Drosophila melanogaster: one gene and its partners. The protein of the gene in region 3 interacts with the protein of the main gene of each other region in a pairwise test. Each region holds a gene or a part of one and is shown on either strand. Other genes may lie near its edges.

Region 1 (6,474 bases), on a different chromosome or scaffold from region 3:
GATCCCAGCCACGATGTTTGGCAGTTTGGCATTGTGATTTTTGTGTGTCTAACTGGCTGTTTGCCCTGGCAGAAGGCTGCCTCCGATGATCCGCGCTATGTGCGCTATCTGGCCTGGCAGGGCGGACTTATGATGATGCCGCTGCGGCGAACTCCACGACTTTTCAAGCTGCTCACCTCGAATGCGCAGCGGATGTTCAAGCGCTTCTTTGCCAGGATCTCCAATCGACCCAAGAGCCTGGCCGATGTTACCAAGTTCCTAGACGACCGATGGCTGGCCAAGACCGCCCAGAAGGAGATGGCCGAGTACGAGACGGACGAACTGTGCCCCTCCATGTACTCCTTCCACAGCAGCCCGGATGAGAAGAACAAGCTGCTCTACACCCTGGCCGACTGCGGTATCGAGACCAATGTGGACCGGCAGCAGAAGAAGAACCGCATCAAAGACTGGATAGAGTCGTCCATCATTACGGAGGAGGACGAGGTGAGAGTTGGCATAAGGAATGGGGTTCTTATTGGGGAGGTGAAGTAACTAGACAGAAATACCTACCTAGCATAAAGATTGGTTACATGTTAATGGCCGCCAACTTTGTTGCAGGAGGAGAACGAGGAGACCAATTCGGCATCCCCATCCTCGTCGGTCTCGCGCGAGCCGCTACCCGGGCATATATCGTCGCTGCGCAAGCCCACAAGTCCGGCGGAGAGCGCAAAGGAGATTAACAGCACCCTGAAGGACGCCACCCAAAAGCACTTCGATCCACGCACGGGTGCACTGCAGCAGGGACCCAGCGAGATGGGTCAGGTGGCCATGGCGTATTCCAAGTCGGCCAGTCCCGCCTCCAACTACAGCACCACAGCGTCCACGCTGAACAACGCGGACAGCCTAATGACACTGGGCTCGCGGCAGGATCTGCTGGCCAGCAACCTGACTATGTACACGTCCATGGAGACCGAATTGAATCGTCTAGGTGAGGCTGATCCTCGGCTGAACCAGCGCACCCAGAGCAACAATCCCCTGCTAACCACCTTCGATGTGAACACCAATCCCGCCGCAAAGAACTCAATTGGAGTGGGCACCCGCGGCTCCAGTCGCAGCATCCTCAAATCCTCCATAGCCACCGCCGCTTATCCCGCTTTGGGCGCTTTTAACCACGGCCAGAGCCACAGCCTGCAGCAGCTCAACCAGCACCTGCAAACATCCACGGGCCTAACACCCAGCAAGAGCTCCTTCTTTCGGCGATGACAAGACCGCCGACTCTAATTGTCACTAATAGTCATCCTTGCCGCACTTTCAGAGCTTCGCGATGCCCGGCACTCGAGCTACGCTAATCTCCCATATGCTTCTCAAGTTAAAGACAGTGCCTACGGATCGGTCGATGTCAGCGAGATGGCGGTGGCGGCCAGCAGAAGTCCCTCGCTGATGAAGGACACCGCCTACGATCGCACCACCAGCTCCAGCAGCCACAACATCGCCCGGCGACAGCGCAGATAGCTTCCCAGGGGGACAGACGAGCGGCCACTGATTTAAAAGTTCCAATAAATAGATAACGTACATTTCTTAAGTGGCGACCACTCCTTTACTTTTGGAAAAGCATTAGATGGAAAACGCAACGCAGACGAGGGGGGTGTGTTCTTATAAAAGTACGTTTCATTTATTCACGCATCATTCATCTCAACAGCCCAAAAGACGAGCAGCGCTCACTTCAGAGGAATGAAACGGGAGCTGTGGGTGGCACCGATACCAGGACGACCGTGCTTGACGGGCTTGTAGGTCAGGGCGAACTCGCCCAGGTAGTGACCGATCATCTCGGGCTTGACCTCCACCTGTGGATGGGGGAAAATGGGGTGTTAGTTGTGTGGATCTAGGATCTAGATGGGGACATTGAGAGGGGTTATCTTTTAGAGCTCTCTACCTAGTTTGTCAATCACTTTCAAATGATAATCTTCATCTTCTTAGCTCCAACCTAACCAAGATGCATGAGGAGCATTTTGGCGGGAACAAGGATTAGCGATTGACACACCATGTAGTGCTCTAAAAAGTTGTCCTTCTCTGTTTCACTCTTACCTGTCCGAAGTCCTTGCCGTTGTAGACGCCAATGATGGAGCCGGTCATCTCGGGTACGATGATCATGTTCCTCAGGTGGGTCTTGACAATCTCGGGCTTCTCATTTGGCGGTGCCTCCTTCTTGGCCTTGCGCAGCTTCTTGATCAGAGCCATTGGCTTGCGCTTCAGTCCGCGGGAGAAACGCCTGCGGGCACGGCTGTGCATCAGCTCCACCAGCTGGTTGCTAAATTGGGCGAAGGAATCACATTTATTTGCTGATTACAGCGGGCGTTTTGGGGGCTGGCAACTCACTTGGGCATGTCCAGAAGCTGGTCCAAGTCGACACCGCGGTAGGTGAACTTCTTGAAGGTACGCTTCTTCTTCAGATTTTCATCGACTTGCTGCATAGAACGAAAAAAAACACCGACATTAGTTTCACATTCAGCCGGTAAATCGCGCTGCGAAACTCCAGAATAACATCAGCAGCCGTGCAACGAAGTCTTCTAATGGTGTTTCGTATGGCATTTTGTTCGATACCCGCACGGATGCCGAGTTTTTCATTGGATTTTTGTATAGATATTTACATCGGCCATCTTTTTTGGTTGCGCACAAAAACGGAAAGAGATTTAAAGCAGTGTGACCGCGCAAACGTACGCTAAAAATACCGGCTGAACAGTGAAAATATACTACAAATACCATCGTGATATTTTAGACATACCGACACAACATAAAAACGGATTCTACATTTACAAAGTTATTTATTAGTTTTATTAAATATAAGTCAAACTAATATCAATTTATCGCTTCTTGGATGTTCTTTTCTATCTTCAATATGTACTATGAATTAATATTTCGCGATGTTTGCTTAGTTTGTGAAACTTAGCTACGGGATCAGCTATAAATTTGCAGTGACTTTTGGCGGCATTTAAATTATATAAATTTCTTATTCTAAGAACATACTCATTGAAAAGTTATTTACTAATTATAAATGTGAATAAAAATTGTTTACAGGTTCAATATCAAGTAAATTTCTGCTATTTATAACTCATTTATGAAATCATATTGTTATATTTGTTATGAATAGATCAATTTGTTTTGCATGCTTTTTTTGCAAATTATTCAATTAGCCACGAACGGTCTGCCTAATTTTAGGGTAGGGTGGAACAAGAAGAAATGTGTTCGATTTTATCGATGTTTCCAACCATTCTGCTTGCGGTACAAAAGAGTGGCATCACTGACAAGGTGTGTGAATTCGCTAACTAAAAAGTTTTAAAATCTTGTTAACATGTCAAAAAAGATAGGAATAATAATACCACGATATCTTATTAATAGATTCTGCTAACTTTTTACTTAATGCTTCTATCAGCTTTATACAATAATTCCCATAATAAAAAATGGTATTATGGTCTGGTTTCTAAACTCTCATTATTACTTATCCGCTTATCAACTAACTTTCCAAGTTTTTATTTTCGGTGGTCAGTTTTGAAATAGTCGTCGTCTGAAATGCAAGTGATATTCGGGATTCTGTTAATCTTGGCAGTAATATGCAGTATTTTATCCGAATTCTGCGATAATGGAACTGGAGAGTGCAAGGAACTGAGTGCCACGGATTGCCCGTCTATATTCTTCAATCTGCATCTAATCAGAAATTTTGTGAAATATTGCGATAAATCCAACCACATTGTTTGTTGTCTGCTGCCCAACAATATGCAACCTCAATCGCAGCAATTCTCCGCAAATATTGGCCTCAGGAGATTCGAAAAGGGTCAGTTTCTGCGACAAATCATCTGTGAAATATTATACATATATATATATACATATATATGCATCCAAACAGAATGCCGTCGCTTCAACGAGATAAGAACTTCCTGCCGCACCACTCCCTTCATTGTGGGCGGCGCCAAGGCCGCTGGCCGGGAATTTCCCTTCATGGCGCTGCTGGGTCAGCGTGGGAAAAACTCATCACAAATCGACTGGGACTGCGGTGCCATTATCATCCATCCCAAGTTCGTGCTCACCGCTGCCCATTGCCTGGAAACCAGCGAGTAAGTGGAATTTAATTGAAATGCTAAAGTAATCAGAAGAATCACTTAGAAGTTGATTAAAATAACAGTGTAATTAAGACACAAACATGAATAGTAATAAATATTCAACAAAAGCAAAAGTCAATAAATTCCTTTCTTAAAAACAACTTTCTTTATTTAGCTACTAGCTTTAATTAATTTACATCACTACACTTTTTAATTTAATTTATTAAAAATATGTTAGACATATAAATTTAATTTATTTAGCGCAGCCTCTTATTTGTCGCTTGGAATTTAGTTCAAAAAAAGTTCAAAAAAAATCAGCATAAATTCGCATCTGATTATCTGAATCCATTCGTCACCGCTAATGCGTTTGCGGCATAAATTAATTCGCATAATGGTATAGAAAATAATGGTCTAAATATATTAAGACAATACAGATAAAAACATCATGTTTTAAACATTGTTTCCCAAAATCTTTCCTACGTGGAAATAGGAATTTGGTACAAGCCAGTTTTGACATCAATCGTTCATCCAACTCAAATAGTGATTTAATTTGTTGATTTACCTCAGGACCAAGGAGCAGCGTCTGGATCCCAACTATGATGGCCCCAAGTACGTGGTCAGATTGGGCGAACTGGACTACAATAGCACCACGGATGATGCCCAGCCGCAGGATTTCCGGGTACTCAACTATGTGGTGCATCCGGCGTACGGCGAGGATGATGACACGGGCAGTCGCAAGAACGACATTGCCGTGGTGGAGCTGGAAATGGAGGCGACTTTCAGCGAGTATGTGGCACCTGCCTGCCTGCCGCTCGATGGCGGAAATGAGCAACTGCAGGTGGCAGCCGCCGGATGGGGCGCCACCTCGGAGAGTGGACACGCCTCGTCGCATCTGCTCAAGGTGAGTCTCGATCGATACGATGTGGCCGAGTGCAGCCAGCGACTGGAGCACAAGATCGATGTGCGCACCCAATTGTGTGCGGGATCGCGGTCCACCAGTGCGGATACTTGTTATGGCGACTCCGGCGGTCCTGTCTTCGTGCAGCATCCCATATATTCGTGCCTGAAGCAAGTGATTGGCATCACCTCCTATGGATTGGTCTGCGGTGTCCAGGGACTGCCCAGTGTGTACACCAAAGTACATTTGTATACCGACTGGATCGAGAATATCGTGTGGGGCGAGTAGGCATCAAAATATTTGCCCAACTCATTCGCAACTTCAACTGTTTGGACATTTACTTAATGAAGATTTGATATTAATGAAGATATTTCATGAATATATACATTCTTGGCATTCGACATTCAATCAAGATACGCGATGATTGGTTGCAAGTAAACGTGTGTGCTTCATTGGATCATAAATATTTATATAGTGAGTTGTGGCCATGCCATGTGGCAGCTCGCAGCTGACTTCCGTGCTTTTATTTAGCAAAATACATTTTAAAATGCAAACTTTAAGTGCATAATTATAGCACTTTAGTTACCATAGCAATAAAAACTATCCTTGGATCTACTCATCTAACTACTAGCTATTTCAGCATGATTTCAATTTGTTTTATAACCAGCTGCAACTAACTGCAAGTGAGTTTTGTTATTATATTTATATATATATATATTAAAGATTATTATTTATGATGTTTTGCTGCTGAAGCAAAAAAAAGAGAAGCGAAAGCCTCAAACATTTCGGAGGATCGAAGAACTTTTGACTGCAAAAGTCCAAATTTCATATGCTAAACGAATTCAGAAAGTAAAAAACCTGAACGGCAGAGTGATTAAAAAAAAAAAGCCAGTGAAGATCCGGTTAATAGCCTTTCCAAGTGCAATGCGAAGCCAAAAACTAGATCTCGAGCCGGTCACATGAGTTCATCTCACTCATTCCGATCTCATTCTGATGAATAAAAACGGCCCCCGAATGAAAGTAAGAAAGTAAGAAAGCAGCATTTTGCATTTTGATATCAGTTTTGTTAGCTTTAATCAAACGTCGCGATAACAAGTGGCATAACAAACATTTGGGCCTTAATCTACGAGGATGTGTTTGTGGTTGTGATTGTGGGTGTTTGGTGCGAATGTGTATATATATATATATATTATATAATATTTAATATGATGAGTGCTCCATTCTCTTTCTCTATATTCGTGCTGCAGTGCATTTGACTTAGAACTAGGACGCATCGAAAGTGGCTAAGTGGCTAAGTGCTAGAGGACCCTGTAGAAGGCCAAACCAAACCGGATTGGCTGGATGGACACTGGATTCGATTGGAGTGTACTACACCCGCTGCAGACGGTTCAGATCGTGACGCCTCTGGGCATTCCTGTCCCTGATCTCCTGCTTCCGAATCTCCTGCTGCTTGTACACGAACAGCGGCCGAAAGACGATGGCCCGTCGCGGACGACTCAGCTT
Region 2 (6,374 bases), on a different chromosome or scaffold from region 3:
AATAATATGCCATTGTCTATTTCCGGAGTTAGTAGAGCTCCACGGCTGACGGGCAAGCGATTCCGTCCGGAATGCGACTACTGACATTCAAAACGTCGCACCGTCCAACTGTCAGTCAATTTCCCATGGAACTCCGCTGCAATCGGAAAGTTATGTGTAACCAATTCCCACCCACCTCGCATGAGTGTGTGTGTGACCCCTTTGGCTGGTTCAATGTCACAGACCTTGGATGGCACTCCATATTCGATGTGGAGTCCACATATGCGGCGTATGTCATTTGGGTGGTGCGTTTGTTTATCTAGGCCGAAATGCCGTCGTGACAGGAGAGTGATATGTGAGTGACACTGCCTGATTTACGTCACGGGGTCGAAGGTCGATGTTGGGGAAACCCATATGTGAGGCTCACGCAGCTGCGATGCCAGCGATGTCGCCTTTGACTTAAATATAAAGTTGCTGTCTTCTTAAAATCAAAGTAAAATTCCTATTCTGAGTCATTCAGTCATATATGCAATACAATCTGGTTAAGATAGTGGGTTATATTATAACCCTTTGTTAGCTCAAATCAACTAAGCTAAGCTGGTAACTATACTCAAAGCAGACTCTCGAACAAAGATTAGTCTAGACTTAGCACTGCAAAGTCTATAGGCAGGTACAGGCCCATTTCTCGATGTGTTCTAAAAATTTTCCACTGACAACGTAAGCAAACAAAGAGCATCTTAATGGAAATCAGCTAGGGCGCCTAACCGGCATGGCGTGCAAATGTACACTTGCAAGACTTGCGCCACCGCCGGTACACGAACCAATTTCGAACTTGGAGCGGCTCTATTCACCTTTGACCCGCCAACGGTGTCACCTCTTCCCGTATCTCGCCTAGGTGGACATTGAAAAGCTGGACTACAGCCTCTATCTGCCGCTCTTCTTCGACGGACTGGCGGAGACGAAACATCCCTACAAGACCTATGCCCGCCAGGGGGTCACGGATCTCCTCTTGGCCGGGGGCGAGAAGATACACCCGGTGATACCGCAATTAATATTGCCGCTGAAGAGTGAGTACCAGGGCATTGGCTGGCACGCAAATGCCTCGAAGTTTTTCGGTCTAATTTGCACCTTGCCAATGCGAGCACAAAACCAAAACCAAATACGCCCCCATTTGCAGACGCATTGAGCACACGAAACCTGGAGGTAATGTGCACGACATTGAAGATAATCCAACAGCTGGTCATGTCCTCGGATTTGGTGGGACCCGCCCTGGTGCCCTTCTACCGCCAGTTGCTGCCCATGTTCAATGCATTTAAGGTGAAAAACTGTAGGTATTCCACTAAACTCGATTACTTCCAGTAACTTCCATTGAAGTGGATATTCTGTGCTGTATAGTAAACTGCGGCGATGAGATCGACTATGCCCAGAAGAACAATCTGAATCTGGGGGATCTGATCGATGAGACGCTGCAGGTGCTGGAACTGCATGGCGGCGAGGATGCCTTCATCAACATCAAGTACATGGTGCCGACCTACGAGTCCTGCTATTTAAATTAAACTACGCCTCATGGTCTTGTCCCTTTACATACAATATCATAAGTATTTATTGAATTTTACAAAACATTACAGCATTAAATAGATATTTGTTACCAAAGTGTTATGTGCGTTTAAATCGATATATGCTTGAGATTATAGTTGTGTATATATAATATATAATTGATTTTGACCAACATCCTGGTGGGGATGCTAGTCGCGTTTGGGGCACGTCAGCTGGAAGCGAACGTGGCCCCACTTTAGGTCATCACTTGGTGGGGGCGTACTCGTTCTTCTTCACATTGTGGGGGGAATAGCGATTGTACAATCCCCAGATGGAGTTCATCAGCTTGTCGTTGTACTTGTTGGGCGAGTACTCGCGTTCTGGAAATGCAAAATTGATGCGTATGAGCTCCATTGACCCAGCGGATCGAGATCGTGGATCGTCATGTGCACTTACGGGTTAGGGCGTTCCCGTTGTCAACGGAACCCTTATCTGCGGCAGCGGACCTCAGACGGGCGATGATCAGCTCACGTTCGTTGAATTGCTCGCGAATCTTGCAGGCTGCGAATGCACCTTGTGGAATGGCGGCCATCTTAACAACTGGAGGCGGAGGAGGAGCATCAAAAGTTAGTTATACATTGTAAATACATGGCTAAAATCACCACCCACCACTTAGGGAAATAACGCTCAGAAGGGAGATGATGAAGTCAAAGTTTCGCAATGGGCTTGTATTCCAGCACTCGGTGAAATGCTGATCGAGATTGATGATTTTTCCGCACTGCTGCAGCAGCATTCAAAGGCCAAACTGAAAGTCCGGAAAAAGTTTGTGGGATAGGGGATATTTCGCTTAGATCGAAATGTGTCCCAGTTTCTTTGGTTTTTGTTTTTTATCACAATTTCAACTATGAATCAGATTAGGCCAATTGGAATGGTTAGCTTTGCACGATGGATTTGGCATTTGATGCCTGTCGTTTTTTCTGGGATTTGCTCGATTGTCTGCGATTGTCTATGTCTGCTACTCGGAGATGAACACTCAGCACAAGGGTTCGGATTTAAACTGAAGACGTCGCCTGGCTGGGAATGGAATTTATAGAACGCGTGTTCGGATCGGATCGGTTCGGCTCGGAGCTGCCGCCAAGTGATAAGCGGGAGACAGGAGATCAGGCTGCCTTGATAGCGCGATTATAAAGCCGGCAAGTGATCGCCATTTTGTGCCACTTATCAGTTGCAGTTGTCATTGTTTTGGTTTTGCCTTTTTTTTTGTCATTTCCACACACAAGCCTATTTGTTTCCAAGCTCTACGGGAAGTTTCGATGGGGCTGGGAAGTAGATTTGTGTACTTGATATGGCTATCAGAGCCCTGGATCTATAGACCAGTTTTGCTTTTTAGCCGCAGCCAAGATGAAGGGCTCTCGTTCCCATCACGAGTGTCCCTGTACTCAAATGGCTGACAATCTTACGAGACTTTATTCCAAACCAGATTAATCCGGCTGCCAACACACTATAGCATGCTGGCAAAGGCATTTGTGATTATAATATTATTAAAAACTGACCTAAGTGCACGTTGTTTACTGAAATTTTCACTTCATTTTTGTTTTGGCGCAGACAAGGTGCAAAAGCATCAACACCTTAGATTTGACTTTGATTAGTCATGATCTCGGATTTTCGAAATATTTTCTGTATTGATTCCCTATTTCATTTCTATCAAGTTGTACAAAACAGTGCACTTGAAAAAATCTTATTTTGTTTTAAGTTAATTGTTTTTAATATATTATTACCAAAGACACTAGAATTCTTATTCTATTGTCTTATTCTAGTGTCTTTGTTAATACTTTTTTTACTATAAAGTGAATGATTGGTTGAATTTAAATATAAAGCCACGAGAAAGTTGTTTGATTCGATAAGGAGGTTACTAATAACACAGTTGAAAATATTCTATAAATAGAAGCAAGCTCACTTTATTTGCCAGTGTATTGAACATAAAATAATCGCTGTATAAACAAAGAACGGCCTACTAGTGAAACCAGTAAAGAGGTGGGTGATCGATCCGATGGGGATCATGGAGATGACCCTCGTAAATTGGTCTCAATAATACGATTAAAAATAAATCGTTTAGTCCAGTGACGCGCACAGTGTTTACTACAAAAAAATTAATCTTTGCACAACGCGGAGAGTCAGCCACGATGGCGATAATACTGGTGATGCTCTATGAAGTGGGTACAAAATTCTCACAGTATTCACACAGTTCCAAACACATTTAATTTAGGAACTACAAAAAAAAAGGCCAAAATAATATTTGGGTGATAAGGCGACTGATGGAAGCCACGAGCGTCTGAGATCACGTAGAGAGCCAAGCTTTTTCGCAGATTTGAACTCGGCGTGTGTGCCGATAATGAAGATCCTCGATGCCTTTTTTTTACCTTTTTTTTGCAGTGGCCTTTGTGTGCTAGGTCAACAATCTCTCAATGACTTTAGCAAAATGCTGATGTAACAATAACTCGCTTATCAGTTTCGGTTGGTTTTCGGGCAAACAAATATGGTTGTCCCAAGTTCTGTTTATGGTTTTAACTTTTGATTAATTATCATTTAAAAAAAATGCTAAATACTAAATACTAAATACTTGTAAGATAATAATGCATATAAGTAAATAAAACGTATCAAAGAACGTTTAAGAAAGGCAAACTGTTAATTGATGATTTTGAATTTGAAAAGGCGCCAACGAACTAATACCATTTCCAGCACTGACAAGAGTGCCACTGTTCTTTTATCAGGTGGCAACGCCCGTGCCAGACAACTAGGCTGCTAATTTCTAGTCAACGGCGAGGCTAAAATTAACAATTGGCTGTCAAAAGCAAGAAAAGAAAAACTCGGGAAATTGTTAATTAAAATCGTGACCCAGATCAGCGCATTCAGCCCCCGGACGCAGAGATGACGTGGAAGAAGCAGATGGCTCTGCTGGCCAAGCCATACTACTGGGTTAACATACTCCTGGCCATATCGTACCTTTTGGCCAAAAAGACGCAGTTCATCTGCACCCGCCTATTTATTCTCGCCGGAGAGGATGAAGCATGCGACCTGGACAGTCGTGAGGTGGAAATCTTGTTCTTCCTGCTAATCGTGGTGATGATACGGTCACGCAAAACGGGCAGTGTCACCATGATTAACTACTTGGCCTCGTCGTTCCTCTACACCAAAGTGGCCAACGCCATTTTGTGGGCCTACGCGGACTTCCGCTACGGCCTGGGCTTTCTGCTTCTATGCGTCCTGGTGGGCATGGTGCTGCCGGAGCCCTCGTATCGCGGACCCGAGCACATCACCTACTTCCGCAACGCACAGGTCTTCGAGGAGGAATTGGCCAGGGACAAGCGAACCAGCTGGCTGATCTGCTTCTACACGGTGTGGAATCCCAGCTGCGTGAACTTCGCCCCCGTTTTTGCTGAGCTCTCCGCCGAGTACAACACGGACCACCTGAAGTTCGGCAAGATTGACATTGGACGCTTTCCGGACGTGGCCCAAAAGTATCGCATCTCGGACAGCAGCTTCTCCCGACAGCTACCAACTGTGATCCTGTTCCAACAGGGCAAGGAGACGGACCGCAGGCCCTGCGTCGATTCCAAGGGTAAACTGCAAAAGTTCTTCTTCTCCAGCGACAATGTGCGCGCCACCTTTGGCCTTAACCAGCTGTACAAGGAGGCCATCGAACGACTACCCATTGCGCCCAAGGAGGCCAAGAAGGTCCAGTAGGCTGTCCTGTCCACCACTGGTGCCATCTCATTTCTGCGTGCACGTGCTAATAACTGTTATTCGTTTAGTTCATAGTTTATTTTAACTTATTGAGGAGCTGCCACCGCCAAAGACACGTACAATTGCACTAATATTTGCATTCTAAACTCAGACGTGCTCTCGTCGCGATGCCATTGTAGAAAATATTTGTATGATCTTGCATTTGCATAAATTGTAGCTAATCACCAGGTACCAAATATATTTAAAAATGTGAAATGAGTCAACGAAAATACGCAGTTCTTTTTTAATTCCCAGCCGAGTCTAACATTTCATTCAATTAGCACAGCTCAAACGATCATTTCCGGTGCTCGTTTAAGAACAAGTAAATATTAAGATGGACTGGACAAGCGTAAATTGAAAGAATGTAATAAAGAACTTACGCTGTATACAAATAGCTAGTAAAATAGTGAAAATATAGAGAATGAATATATAGTTTCAGAAAGGTGCCCATACTGGTTTTCGGTACAAATGTATATAAAGTGTTTGTGACAACCCACAATTTTATGACATATTTATTGTATTTTATACGTTCTGACTTGCCGCTTAAAACAGAAACCTTCGTCGTATCCCCCCGGTTTATGAAATATAAAACCAAATGGGCCCGTTGTTGCTGCCAATGTGTTGAGCAAAATTGTATGGCAATGCAAATGGCACAACAAAAATGTTTCCGGCGTGTTGCGTTCTGTTCCGAAATGGCCCCGCAGACATCGGCCATATAGACAGATCGTATATGGATATATATATATATATATACATAAGAACCCAACAGGCCAGACGCAGAACGAAATAAACGCAAATCCCTTTTATCCATTCAATATGAACACACATACGTATAGAGAAACGGACGAATTTAAATGCATAAATACAGGCGACTGCACACCAATCACCACCCACCGCACACCGCCCACAACCACCCCCCACAGATGTGAGCAAGGCCTTTGTGGTTAATATTTGTATTTTTCTTTACTTTCATTGAAACGGCATGAAAATGGCCATTGCATTTTACGTGAATTGTATATGGTAAATAATGCGATTGTCTCACACGGCCGTTTTATTTGCGGAAAATTTAAATTCGC
Region 3 (7,446 bases):
CGGATATGCGCTCTTAGCGAAAATTGCATTTGGCCAAATGAGTGGAGCGACCAAAGAAGAAGCGGAAGCAGGAGGTGGGAAGTGGAATCCCTTAGGAGTCAGGACCCAAAGATGAAAAAAAAAAACCAAAGTCCAAGACGACTCTTAATATTTCATCTTTCATGCTCATTTGCACTTATGCGGGGACCTCTGTGGGAAATGGGCGGTGGAAAATGGGGTTTTCCAAGTGGGTAGAGTGTGGGTGGTGGGGAGAACAATGGTAGGACCACACGCCGTGTAATCAAAAGAAAATGTTGCCGCTAGCCGATGTTCCTTTGGCACACTTACAAAAATGTAAATCCTTTTGAGACTGTTAAAAATGTTAAACGAAATGCAAAACAATAAAAACCCATAAAGCCGATATTGTGTTCATATTCATTTGATAGCATTATATATCATTAGAAAATTGAATTCCCAAGTATATTTGCCTTTGCCTATTTTATCGTCTGAAAGCGATATCGGATGTTATTTTCGAGCTGTGCAATTCTCTGGCGGGTCCTTTCTGTCTGTCGCCCCTATCCTTGGTATTTCGCAGGTTTTCCCATTGACGATGTCTTCAGGAATTGGGGAGTTGGACGTAGCAGGGAGTTGGACGTCGGACGTTTACCGTTGGATGAGGACGGCACCTGCTGCGAGTTATTTACAGCCACTGGAGGGCATTCCTTTCTTTCCTCGCTTCCACCTCTCCGGAGTACTTTTTTTTTTACATTTTCCACAGGAGCAGGAGCAGTTCGTCCTTGTACAGCTATTACACATTGCCGGAAGCGTTTGAATGTGTTTATGTGTAAGCGTCTATCGCTCAAGTTGCCTGCTGGCCTCTCTCTCTGTGCAGCCCTCTATACCTCTCTTTCTAGTCTCCATTCTCCAGCTGCTTTCCATAACAGCAACTAAAATGTTTCCGTTATTAAGCTAAAGAAACACTTAACTTTGCGCCAGGATCAGCAAGGACGTCAGGTGCAATGAATAGAGAGGGCGGGCTAGGAAAGAATGAGAGGGTAGGATAGAAAAGAATGAGACGGCCGAAGGAAAAAGAAAGAGAGGGTCTTAGAGTTAAGGACCATGAGAATGCACGAAACTTTTGAGGTGTTTAAAACGTTAATTTGCTTTAGATTTTACAGGAGTTTCTTCCCTGTCTCTCTCGCACACCACTGCAAGTGTGTGTGTGTGTGTTTGAGTGTGTGTGTAAGTGATTTTCGCATTAACGCGTGCTACTTTAGCGGTTCGAGTCAGCGGAGCACAAAAAACTGCTCCTTTTCCCTCTTGTTCCCTTCCCTTTATTCACCTTTGCTTGGTTGCCCAGAAATTAAGGGCAATAAAAACAAATAAAACACATATACTGCTTAAACGGTATAAGTTTAAAAAGAGCACTTAAATTTCATGAGTTTTTCATGAGTTTATTATTTTCCATTATGTGTACAAGGCTCAAGGAATTGTAAACAGTTTTGTATTTATGTGTCTTAAAAGTTAAATGTTGTCAAATGCCATTCACCATTTCACCATTTCAAATCTAAAAGGTGCGACCGTTTAGATAATAGTTCTGTGTGCTGCTTTTTTTTAGAATTTCATTCAAATTTTTTCTTATCCTGTTGCAACACTAACAACACTAACACTTGACCAAAAGCCACACACATTCCATTGGCTTTCTCTTTCCCGCTTTCGCTATTCCTTGAAATCAACTTTCATAATTAAATGGCGAGTCCGAGCTTCCTATTCGCCCTCCCTTTCTCCACCACTACTGACACCTCTCTTGCTCACTCTCTCTCTCTCTCCCACACACGTGCATGCATAAAACAATTTAACACTTAACGTGGCCAGGAGCTGGAAATAAAAAGCGCATAACTCATGCGAAGAAGTCGTCGGCGGCAGCGACGCCGGCAGAGGCGACGACGCCGCCATAAATTTCAAAAACAGCTACAAAACAGGAAGCAGCAGGCGGAGCAACAACAACGATAACAACAACAGTGGCAAGGAGCAACGGGAAAAAGCAAGAACAACTCGAGTGGAATGTACAACGGGATAGCTGCACTCGACGAAAAAACGTTGTAACATATAAGTAGCGGACTGATTAATTCAAACAACTAGTTTAATAACAATATTATTAAAAAATTAGGATTTATATTTAATGTTTGTTTATTACATGATATTTAAATAAATTTTGTACTCAAACATATGACTTAAATAGTTTTTTTGATTTTTCTACTAGAGTACATACTTATTTTTCCGGTGCTGTGAGAGGGGCGCGGGGGCGGGGCACGGCCGCAATGGACTGCAAAAATATTAACTACCTTTTAGCAAAAAGCGGGCCAAGCTGACGTCAAGTTTTGTAGAAAATTATGTTTTACAATGCGAAAATTGAATTTCAGTTTATTGTTTTCTGCTGCTTGTTCTTGTTCCGCCATTTTCCATTTTCCATTTTCTATTTTCTTTTTCTCTCACAATTTTGCTTTACGATTAACTGTTAAATGCAGCCGACTTTTCGCCGTTTTGTGGCTGCAAGTCAACGACTTTTCCATGTGTGTTTGGCCGTTTGGCTTTCTTGTTATTTTTTATGCAGTTTACAAGAACATGGCGAAAACCGGCTGGCTGCCAAATTGAACGGAAATATTTACTGCTACGTTCGTTAAGAGTAAAAAAAAAAATAAAAACGCTCTAGAGATTTATATTCTTGTGAGAAACTTCGGCGAATTACGATGAACTCGCTAGAGATTTTAAGTAAGCTTAAGTATCTTAAGTATCATCTGTTTTTTTTAAGGAATATTGGTTTGTGGGAGTTATAAATAGAATCGCAGCACAAAATAAAGTGAAATGAAAATACATTGTTTTGTTAGACATATTATTACAGTAAACTTTATCCAACAATGTGCTGTTGATTGTTGATTAACCCTTAGGCTGTCACGTCTCTTTTCCATCATAAAATGATTGCATACATTTAGGCTGCGTTTATTTTAACACTAACAAAACACTAGGAACTACTTATTCACGCACAGCGATCACTCTCTCTGTCTCTGTCTCTTCGCTGTCGCTCTCTCGCTCGCTCGCGCCGCCGCCAGCTGTTCGTCCAGAGGCGCAGCACCAGGGGGCTTTGGCTAACCTGACTGACCTTGCTCGACGACATTCGCCCCACCCCGCTCAGCCAGTTGGTCTGACGCCTCGGCACGTACGGCTGCTGGGGGGCGGTGCGGAAATAGAAGCTACCCTGCGCACGCCTCTGCGAATGGATACCGAAGCGCGCCTTCCGGTTGCCATCGCAATATCCGGCGGCGAATTCCCGGTAGCTGCCGCACTCGTAGCCCACGAACGGGTACTCGGGATCCATCGATTGCCGGAAGAAGATCGCAGCCGCCGAGTGACTGCAGGAAACGGGATCTGCCGAATGATAATGGTTTGTATCTTATTTCATAGCTCTTCAGCGAGATTACATATTAAATAAGCGGCTTATCTTTGAAATAATCCTATGATATAGATGGCCTTGACTTACTGGTATTTTGCATGTCACGCAGATTGGCGAACATCTTGCAATTCGTTTGCGGCGCCCTGCCTCCGTTGGGATAGAAATCGGCGTGGCCGCACTTCAGACTGGTGCCCAAGGAGCCGCCGGAAGTGTGAAGTACCTGGACGAACTGCGCATCTCCTGGATCCAGGCGGTACTTGGGCGCCACCTCGGCGGGCAGCGAGAACAGCGGTCCAGCGGGATCCAAGCCTATGATCTGCTCCACCTGACCCTCCAACACTGCGCCCGCATATCCAGCGGCATGGGCACCCAAGCTGTAGCCCGCCAAGGTCACGTTGCTTCGATGAAAGTGATTGGGACGCAGCTCCTCCAGGGCCATGATGATTCCAGCCACCGTTAGACCCACATCGAAAATGGACATGGATGCGGACTTGTAGTCGTTCTGCGACAGATTTCCCCAGTCCACAACGCACACATTGTAATTGGAGTCGAATAGGGTCCAAGCTGGGTATAAGAACCGAAATTCGAATGATGATTATGTGGATAAGGTGAGTATACATACTTAGCAATAACTCTTGCACCCAATCCTTGCTGCCCTGATCATTCCAGCCGTGCAAAAATAGGGCCAACTTTTTGTTAGGATCGAGGCGACGAAATCCTCGAAGGTCTCCAAGCTGCAGATTGAAATGCACTTCATTACCAAAATCCTTAGCTGATCTGGAAAAAAGTCGAAGTTCTTAGCTAAAAATACGCATTTATTATGGAAACTATAAAATTGTTTGAAAAAACTTTAAAATTGAAGAACAGATGAATAAAGCTGAATACAAAACCTACACCCACTTACATGGTGCGACACTCGAAGACGATGCCATGATTGAGATGGGCACGTTCCAGGCTATTCCGGAGCATGGTCTCCTGGAGATAGCGGAAGGCCTTCATCATGGGACTCCAGCGGTGGAAAGCCTCGATTCTCGGCACATCGCCGAGCAGGCAGAGCAGGCAGCCAAGGAGCAGAAGGTGGTTCACGTGACCGGGCATGCGGTCAAAGGGTCATGCACCACCGAAAACACCACACACACTTGCACACTCACTGTCACTGAGCAACACCAGAAAAAAAAAAGAAATAGAGGAGCGAAGAACTGGGGGAGTTAACCGAGATCTTAAGACACGCTCTTCTGGACCGAATGGTTTGCCCCGTGGCTGGCTACTGAAGAACTCGACTCGCTTGTAACTCCAAAAGACCCGTGAAGACGATGATCATCATGACGCTGATGATCGTGATGGAAAAGTACACTTGGGAAAATTACAAGCAAGCATAGTAATGGTTCTGAAGAGCACTAGAAATAATATATTAAAAGATCAGATATAAATATGTATAAAGTATTTCTTAAATATATGAATTTTATAACTTAGTTTAAACACCTTCAACAGCATTATGCCTTGAGATACATTAATATAGCACAGATGCACAGTACATGAATTTCTCGTATTTTCGCGCAGTGTATGTGATGCTGATGACCCTGCTCTCCGAGAGCTCTAAACATCTTTGGCGTTCTTGGCCGCGTGTTTGCACAAGTGAAAGTACAAAAAAAGCTTGTAACGACTTTTTGACTTCGATTTCGATTTCTTTCGGCTGGGAATTCGGCTTTGGGTTTTTCGGTGTTTGGTATTTGGTATTCGGTACTCGGCACTTCACTGATCTTGACATAGAATCCAGCAAACGGTAGCGACGAATTTCTGTCTTGTCATGGCTGTTGTTTATAGCTTATAGTTTACTTTGGCAGCTGAGCAAACCGCACAGCATCGAAATCGATAATAAAACCGAAAGACAAGGCGGCGCATTCAGGCCTCATCTCGGATCGAATAGGTTAATTTTAGTGCAGCCATAAACTTCAGAGGGAGTTGATCTGGGCACACGCTTTCTCGATGCAGTGAGAGAAAGGGAGTTGTCAGCAGAATGGATGTAATCTTAATACTTAATACTTAAACATCATATACTCAAAAACCTCTTTACATACTTGAAAACTATGCTAATATTTATTTTCTGATATTTATTATATTTTAAGTGATTTGATTGCCCGTCGATTTTTTTCAGTGCCTTTACGACAACCCAAATGGCGGAGAACTTACAAACTTTGACCCAAAACGCTGTTTTTTTTTTTTTTATGTCGCGCTCATAAAATATGTTCAGCTCACAAGAGATAAACCATAATATAATCCCGCCCTCTGCCGCCCCTCGCCAACCGTATTATTTTTATCTTTTTGGCCGAGCTTTCTAACCAATATGTGTTAAACGAAAGCAAAGAGAGAATAACGCTAATGATGCGCAAGTAAAGTGCCAAACGAATTTCGTTGTCTTCGCCCCATTGTTTTTCATCTAAATCTTGGGAGAGCCCCAAAGCTTCGTCTTCAAATCGTCCACTATCACCATTTCTACTTCCCCTCTTTCTTCTGGCTTTGTTTTGGCGATTTCTGCTTTTGGCAGTCGATCGATTTGCATATCTATCTGTAGCTTCTTTCCGCTGTCCACCTGTATTTCTGTTTATCTGGCCTCAATGTCAACTCTATGTTCAACACTATCAATTCGGCCGAAAAAAAATGTATGGTAAAGACGTGCCGATTGGAATGTATCTCAAAGTTTGTAAATTGAATGATAAATGCCTAAAATGAAAGCTAAACAATGATCAATGCTTAAATGAATGATAGAAGAAAAGAACACTGGACATTAGGTCTTGAAAAATGCGTTTTAAAGAGATAATAAACGACTTTAAATGTAAAAAAAACTTTATATACTACGGATATTGTAATAAAATGCATATAGTTTGTATGCATGAATTTAATTTGGTTCTTGGCGAAGTGGGACAATCGCTTTTCCGATTAAATATTCATGAATGATCAAAAGTTTTTTGTCCGCCCCCCAAATGCTCGCTGAATTTTCCCAGCCATTTTCTTCGAGTTTCCTTTCATGCACTTTGGAGTTTTGCTCTCCTTTGTTTTGGCCATTTTCTTCATGTGGCTCTATCATTAAGGCAGAGTGCGGCTTAATTGTTGCCGCAGACAATGGCTAGATTGTTATTAGGAGGGGGGGAGGGGCCAAAGGGGCTGTGATGCCCCCAAAAGGCGCCCCCAGCCGCCTGCTTTGCCCACAGTTGCGTTGCCTATTAAGCAGCATCATAATAATAATGTGTAACAACAAGAGCAACAACAACAGCTGCTGGCAATAACTTTTGCATATACGTATGTATGTGTGGCCAAGCAGCTTATGTGTGAGTGTTTGGGGACGCATTCAAAGCAATTTCCACAATTTTCGTATTGTTTACTTAATTAATTCTGCACAAAGATTTTCATTTGCAACTGTGTGCGAGTATGTGGTGCTCGCAGATGTTTTGTGGTTATTACAGCAAACCAACAACTCTCGTTCAACTCGGGTGTACTCACACCACACCAACACCCAACACACACCACCCACCACCCACCACCTGTCACCTCAGCTCCTATCACACCCTTCATCCAATATCCATTCGGGCAGACAAAACGCGTAATGAGTTTATAACATTTAATGAATCCAAAGCCAACCGCCGCAGCACAATGCGGCGTATGCGTAATGCGACCGACTCTTAGCAATGCGACAGCTTAAAGGCTCCTTAAAGTATGCAACAAGTCGCCGACGAGTGGGAATAATTACGGGGTATTTCCCAGGATTTTAATTAGATTAAATTCATGCAGCAGACTTGCTGGAACATAACCATTAGCTAGCCAGGGCTCACCATTTTCATTTAGGATATTTTAATAAAATTATAAATTCAATTGGAGCGGCTAGAAATTAAGGAATATTTGGCAGTACCATATTGGTTAGATAATTGTGTTCGAAGAGGATTAAAGAAAGTTTTTAAAATATTTAAAAGAAATAGAAATACTGTTCTTTATTTATACTTTATTATAAACCAACATCTGCT

Evidence for each region.
Region 1: the proteins of CG1986 (region 3) and RpS15 interact in a two-hybrid assay, tested with the Drosophila melanogaster proteins (one large-scale study listed by BioGRID).
Region 2: the proteins of CG1986 (region 3) and CG16926 interact in a two-hybrid assay, tested with the Drosophila melanogaster proteins (one large-scale study listed by BioGRID).

What each region holds. Positions count from the first base shown.
Region 1 is NT_033778.4:16,568,562-16,575,035, forward strand, and holds RpS15 (ribosomal protein S15), read right to left. Parts: upstream 2,670-6,474; 5' UTR 2,637-2,669; coding exon 2,628-2,636; exon of another isoform or gene 2,451-2,627; coding exon of another isoform or gene 2,445-2,450; coding exon 2,356-2,444; intron 2,288-2,355; coding exon 2,065-2,287; intron 1,824-2,064; coding exon 1,698-1,823; 3' UTR 1,551-1,697; downstream 1-1,550. Other genes in the region: CG4945 (uncharacterized protein), read left to right, coding at 1-483, 598-1,242; CG4927 (uncharacterized protein), read left to right, coding at 3,547-3,808, 3,881-4,088, 4,641-5,259; Lst (limostatin), read right to left, coding at 6,340-6,474.
Region 2 is NT_033778.4:19,498,745-19,505,118, forward strand, and holds CG16926 (uncharacterized protein), read right to left. Parts: upstream 2,675-6,374; 5' UTR 2,309-2,674; coding exon 2,185-2,308; intron 2,116-2,184; coding exon 1,972-2,115; intron 1,896-1,971; coding exon 1,780-1,895; 3' UTR 1,551-1,779; downstream 1-1,550. Other genes in the region: CG15120 (uncharacterized protein), read left to right, coding at 875-1,046, 1,157-1,306, 1,375-1,535; CG11007 (uncharacterized protein), read left to right, coding at 4,444-5,259.
Region 3 is NC_004354.4:9,906,428-9,913,873, forward strand, and holds CG1986 (uncharacterized protein), read right to left. Parts: upstream 4,700-7,446; 5' UTR 4,529-4,699; coding exon 4,335-4,528; intron 4,208-4,334; coding exon 4,053-4,207; intron 3,995-4,052; coding exon 3,518-3,994; intron 3,406-3,517; coding exon 3,017-3,405; 3' UTR 2,236-3,016; downstream 1-2,235.